2 linked regions of the Danio rerio genome follow. The protein of the gene in region 1 interacts with the protein of each later gene in a biochemical or structural test. Links are inferred from orthologs where the notes say so. Each region holds a gene or a part of one and is shown in the gene's direction. Other genes may lie near its edges. The genes, in order: dapk1 and klhl20.

Evidence for each region.
Region 2: the proteins of dapk1 (region 1) and klhl20 are reported together in a solved structure, tested with the Homo sapiens proteins (2 studies listed by BioGRID and IntAct, with this or other methods). The link is inferred for Danio rerio from reciprocal best matches to the Homo sapiens genes DAPK1 and KLHL20.

The regions. Positions count from the first base shown.
Region 1 is NC_133180.1:45,657,130-45,660,965, forward strand, and holds part of dapk1 (death-associated protein kinase 1), read left to right. Parts: intron 1-1,999; coding exon 2,000-2,185; intron 2,186-2,478; coding exon 2,479-2,676; intron 2,677-3,836. UniProt on the Homo sapiens protein: Calcium/calmodulin-dependent serine/threonine kinase involved in multiple cellular signaling pathways that trigger cell survival, apoptosis, and autophagy.
Region 2 is NC_133177.1:37,094,876-37,097,829, forward strand, and holds part of klhl20 (kelch-like protein 20), read left to right. Parts: intron 1-919; coding exon 920-1,128; intron 1,129-1,204; coding exon 1,205-1,311; intron 1,312-2,954. UniProt on the Homo sapiens protein: Substrate-specific adapter of a BCR (BTB-CUL3-RBX1) E3 ubiquitin-protein ligase complex involved in interferon response and anterograde Golgi to endosome transport.

The DNA.
Region 1 (3,836 bases):
ATGTTTGTCTGTGTCTTCAGGCTGTGTATAGTCTCTAGTTCACCTCACCTCCAGAATCTTCATGTCCAAGTTATTTGTTCTTGTGTGAGGTCACTTCACATCACATCCCCACAGGCTGAAAACAACGCAGTCTGTTCCATAAACAGAAATGTTCCAGAAGTTTCCCTCCAAAGAGTCAAACGTTTCAGTTTTTTCTTTATATCACATGAACACTTCCCAAGAAGTTCAGTCGATACAAATAACATAATGTATTGTTTTAGAAGTGATTCTAAACTTGTATGGACACCAGATAAACATTTTCAGATTTTTTAAAATGCTTTTTAATGTTTGCATTTTTTTTATATGTTTTTTTTTATTGTTATTTAATGAGTGCACATTGAATAAGCAGAGATAAATAAACTGATCAACTTATTATAAATGAGTAATAATGTGTAATTTGGGGTCAGGCCATACTTTTGTATTATAGCCTGCTTTATTTCCTATAGAAAACATTATGAACAAAAAATGTGCTTGTTTACTTAGTTACTTCATTAATCTGAAAATACAAATTTTATTAATAGGGCCAGTGTTAATACCACAGTGGGGCAGTGGGTAGCACAATCACCTCACTGCAAGAAGGTCACTGGTTTAAGCCCCGTCTGGGTCAGTTGGCATTTCTGTGTGGAGTTTGCATGCTCTCCCTGTGTTCAACTGTACACCAGTACTGTTCACCCAGTACTGGGTTGTGGCTATAAGGGTATCGGCTGTGTAAAACATATTCTGAATAAGTTGGCGGTTCATTTCACTGTGGCATCCCCTGATTAATAAAGGCACTAAGCTGAAGGAAAATGAATGAAATATAATTATAACAACAATAAAGGATAATAATAAATCATAAAAAATATCAAGTATAAGAATTAAATGTGTGTACATACCATGTTATGTGAATACTTTGCTGTAAATATGAAAAGCAAAATCTGTAAATATGATAAAAAAAATTAGAAAAAGGGAACATACTATTTTTTATCACTGTCCTAAGATATTTAACAAAATAGGTTAACATATAGTGCAAAATACTAAACAGCTTAAAAAATTATAATAACTCCCTGTAAAAGTTTTTTAATACTGTGGGGGTCCCTTTTTTCTGAGCAGTAAATCTGCTTTCCTTCAGAAAAATCCTTCCATGTTCTGCAGATTCTTCAGTTTTTAGAATCTTTTGCCTATTTGAACCCTTTCTAGCAATGACTATGATATCTAGATCCATTTTTTTTACACTGAGGACAAATGAGGGACTCAAACACATCTATTGAAAAGGTTCAAAGGCTCATTGATGCTCCATTAGAAAACACGATGCATTAAAAGCAGTGTAGGGGGTGAAAACTTTCAAACAGGATAAAAATGTCCAATTCTGTTTTCTAATATAAAAGCCCAAATACAATCCTACCTTCAACAGATTCTTCTAAATCTTTTTTCTTTCTTACTTTATTTGTTTGTGTGGATGTGATTTTAAATACGTTTTCTTTAATGCAAATCATTTAATACCGCTAAAAAGAGAACGAGTAAATCAAACTGAGTGAAGTGCTTGATGGGTAAAACATAGGTATAAACCAAACTGATTAACTTAGTAGATCTACTCAGCTTTAGATGTAGGTTGTTAGTATGTGCAAACTTTTTTTCTGATTTTGTTGAAATGTCTTTATTGCTATACTGTCCTTCAGAACCAACACATTAATATAATGAACTAACTGGTTCCATGTAAAATTCCGTGTAGTTGACCAGCCTGATTTCTTGAGGAATAGTAACTAGTTTTGCGTTTTGTCAGTTTAGTGGCTAAATTGTATGAATTCATTTGAAAATGTTTGATTCTTAAAAGGAGGCATGCCACCAAACCCACTCGTAAACCCAACCATCGTTGGGGGAAATTGTACTAAATTGTATGAATGAGATTGAACAAATTCATACAAAAAGTTATGAATTGCTGTGAGATACCATTGAGTTGAGTCTTTCTGTTTTCCTGCAGTGTCTGTGAGCATCTCTAACCTGTACCCGGGCTGTGAGAATGTGAGTGTTCGGAGCCGCAGTATGATGTTTGAGCCCAGTTTGACCAAAGGAGTGCTGGAAGTCTTCAGTCCTGTTCATAATGCTCTCTCCACGGCTGACGACACTGCCACTAAAGCCATCGACATCCAGAACGCCAACGTCAACGGTGAACAAGCTCTTCTTTGATGAATCGAGAGATCAGCAGTCTGTTAAAGCATCATAAATGTCTATTCTGTCATATTCGCCACGCAATGTTTTTTTGATTGTCTACAGATTAAACCACTTTTATACAATGACTTGCATAAATAGCCTAGTAAAGCCTTTAAATGTCACTTTAAGCTGAATACTAGCGTCTTGACTAATAATCTTAGTTATTACATCTATGTTCAGAAAGGTGTTGAAAATATTCTCTCCGTTAAACAGAACTTAGAATTAAAATTTTAGTTTGTGTGTTTTTAGGTGTTGGAGACTTCAGTATATGGGAGTTTTCTGGCAATCCCGTCTATTATTGCTCGTATGACTACTTCGCTGCCAATGATGCCACAGCGATTCATCTGGTCTTATTCAGCCTGGAGGAGCCCTACGAAACTCAGCTCAACCAGGTCACATTCTGGCTGAACTGTCTGAAGGCTCTCACGCTGCCAGAGGACAACATCGGTATGAGTGTGTGTCCTGACACTTAAGAATAAATGTATGGATTTTTTCCCCCTCCTTTTCAGAGGGCTTTTCATTACAGTAATTGCAGACATCGCCTGAAGCTGTGAAGTCTGTGATTAAGAGGTTGTAAGAGAACTTGTACTATGTTGCTGTGTTAAAGTGTGTATCTGTATCTATGTACGTATGTGTGTGTATATTTATAGGGGTACAAATGATTTCGGGCTTATATATATATATATATATATATATATATATATATATATATATATATATATATATATATATATATATATATATTTTTTTTTTTTTTTTTTTTTTTTTATAATTTCTAGTCCAAACAAAAAAAAAACTTGCTGGTTGAATAAAAATACCTTAAAGTCAGAATTTTCCAGTGGGTATATACTTGTGGTTGTAGCTGGATTGAAACACACCATTTGCCCTTATTACATAAATAGCTAAGTATATACGACAAACAAAACATAATTTATTTTTAACAATAATTTAATTTATTATGACACTGCTATACATTAAACCATGGTTAACAGTGTATTTAAATCATTGTTTCTTTTCTTTTCTTCAAAAAAAAAATTAAAATAAAACATCCACAATGTCTTTTACTTTTATGCTATTTAGGAGCCATGTGCACCCAATGTGCAATAGATTAACATCATCAAATTAATAAAATAATCAGCAAAAGATAAATAAAATGTCAGAAAAAGGAATAAAAAAAGGACAGATCTCTAAAAACTATCATAATTACAAGATTAAAGCTGTAGATTATTAAGGAAAATGCGTTGATTAACCATTATGGTGTGCATATATTTTGCAGCCAGTTTAGACCAGTCATTTTGTCCTTTTTGAGTATATAGGAACTTTTTCGAACTCGTTTAGATTAAAAAGAAAAAAATGTTTGATGTTTCTCTCGCGTGCAGTCAGCTATGAAGCCAAGCGAAAGAAGCCAAAAAGAGCAATGAAAACCCCATCTTTCGATTCAAGTCTACCTCAGAATTTTTTCAAAAAATGCTTTGAGATGGACGTGGAGCCTTACGAGCTGCGGGAGGAAGGGGCTTGGCCAGCAGAGCAGGGGAAAAAAGAGGAGAGCGAGCAACTGTTGTCAGTTGGCTCACAAAAAGAAACAAACCATGAGGAGACCTATGATT
Region 2 (2,954 bases), on another chromosome or scaffold:
GTACATCTGAGTGATTTCAGAAAGATCATGTGACACTGAAGAGTTCAGAAATATTGTTGAAAATAGTTTAAAATAAATATATATATATATTTTTTTTTTTAATATTACTGGTTTTACTGTAATTTTGACCTAATAAATGCAGCCTTACAAGCTAAATTAACTCCTAAAAATGGTAGCATTAATTACATTTTTACATTTAGTCATTTAGCAGACGCTTTTATCCAAAACGACTTACAAATGAGGACAAGGAAGCAATTTACACAACTAAGAGCAACAATGAATAAGTGCTATAGGCAAGTTTCAGGTCTGTAAAGTCTAAGAAGGAAAGTATTAGTAGTATTAGTATTTTTTATTTATTTATTTTTTTTTTTGGTACAGTTAGTGTCATATTCAGAGAGGCAATTGCAGATTAGGAAGTGAAGTGGAGACTAAATAGTTGAGTTTTTAGTTGTTTCTTGAAAATAGCGAGTGACTCTGCTGTTCTGATGCAGTTAGGGAGTTCATTCCACCAACTGGGCAGATTGAGCGTGAGCGAAAGTGATTTCTTCCCTCTTTGGGATGGAACCACGAGGCGACGTTCATTCACAGAACGCAAGTTTCTGGAGGGCACATAGATCTACAGAAGTGAGAGCAGATAAGAAGGAGCGAGGCCAGAAGTCACTTTGTAGGCAAACATCAGAGCTTTGAATTTGATGCGAGAAGCAACTGGCAGCCAGTGCAAACGGACTAGCAGCGGAGTGACATGTGCTCGTTTAGGTTCATTGAAGACCACTCGTGCTGCTGCATTCTGGAGCAGTTGAAGAGGCTTGACAGAGTTAGCTGGAAGCCCAGCTAGTAGAGAGTTGCAGTAATCAGTAATTGAATTTCAGGTGTTTTAAATCAAATAGAGAATGATTAAGAACACTTTTCTTGTTGGCAGTGGAGCGCTATAACCCTCAAGAGAACCGCTGGCATACAGTGGCACCGATGGGCACTCGACGGAAACACCTAGGCTGTGCCGTGTACCAGGACATGATCTATTCAGTGGGCGGCAGAGACGACACAACAGAACTGAGCAGCGCTGAGAGATACAACCCTAGGACTAACCAGTGGTCTCCTGTGGTCGCGATGACGTCCAGAAGGAGTGGGGTATGTGAATCCTTCATCTATGTTTAACATCTTATGGAAGAATTGTCCAGCAAACAAACTCTTGTGTTTGATCTAGGTGGGCTTAGCAGTAGTAAATGGTCAGTTGATGGCAGTTGGAGGATTTGACGGAACCACGTATCTGAAAACTATAGAAGTCTACGACCCTGATGCCAACACTTGGAGGTAAATGGAGAACACTACTATTAAAGAGTTTACTAAAACAGTTTTTCTTCAGTGGATTAACACACCAAACCAATGCCAAACAACTAGCACCAATGAAACCCAACTGTGTTGTTGCCTGGATTTGGCTCGGGTCTGGAACAAAAAGCTTTCCGTGAACACACAAAAAACAAACGGCAACCGACTGATTCAAGCATGCGCAAAGGACATGTCTTTCTGCACTGCGCGGGGCTGCTGTGTCTTTTTTTTGTTCAGAACAACGTGATGCATGCATGTAAAGCGTAAACAAAAAAGGGTGTAGTACCATCATCACAGTAATTGTGGCTCACCATGGAGGGATTTGCTCCTGCAAATATGTTTCTTAATCTGATCGTTAATATCGTTTGTAAACACTTGAGAAATATTGCGAAATTACAGCCGGCCTCTTTGCCTTAATTCTTGATTAGAGTTTTGTACTTGTTGCGTCACTTTGCTACGTCATACTCGCGCTCCGATTTATTACTAAATAACCAGTCAGAGCGCTCTCTTCAGTTAAGGACCCGACGCGGATTTGACATGCTGAATCAGGCCAAGGCAACCCACCGTTAAACCAGCTAGCAGGATCGATGCTGACTAGCGAAACCCAACAGCCATTGGTTTTGGTGTGTCCTTGCATTTAGTAGCATTATCACCGTAATTGTCACTGACCATGGAGGGATTCGCTTCTGCAAATATGTCTGATAATCTAATAATCCATATCATTTGCAAATATTTGAGAAATGTAGCGAAATTACAACCGCCCACTTTTTGTTCCTTCTTGACTTGATTTTTTTTTTCACTTGCTATGTCACACTTATGCTCTGATTTGCTGTATAACCACTCAGAGTGCTCTCTGTAGCCAATGGCCCAGTGCTGAATTCGACATTCTAAATGGGACCAATGCGATCTGATGTTAATCCCGACAAGAGGCAACTTGGAGTACACACTAAACCAACTAGCCTGACCGAAGAAGCCCAATGGCCGACTGTCGGCTTGGTGTGTCCCGGCCATAAAGCCTGATTTCTACTTCTGCGTCAAGTGCACGCGAATAATCCGGCGTAGCCTTTACACAGTCGTATAGACGAGCTTTGTGATTGGTTGGCCTGGTATCGTTGATGAGTGTGACTAACCCCTAAGCCTAACAGTGTGCGCTATCAAAACAAACATTGAGTATGTTTACATGGACACCAATAATCCGATTTTAATACGATAAAGACAATACTCTGATTATGAGTAAACATCGATTATTTTTATTTATTAATATAATCAAGGTCATAATCAAACTTAACTGAAATCGAATTAAGACATGTAGAGTAGCGATTTTAGTCTCATTATTAAAGTGCAGTACAGACATGTAAACACCTTAATCAAGCCTTAATTGTGTAGGAGTTTCACCGCATTTTGCGACAGGATAGTCCATACACGCACGGCTGTTTGACACTATTCTGCACCTACCGAGTCAGTAAAGGACCACAGACACCTGCATACAGCATGAGCAGGGCTTTATTTGTGCCGAAATACGCTGGATCCGGATCTAAAATCTTCATTCTACCTATCTTCCTTCTCACCCGCTGTCCTCTCTCGTCCGCTGTTCACTTTTACTTTCTTCCGTGACTCCCAATCCTCTT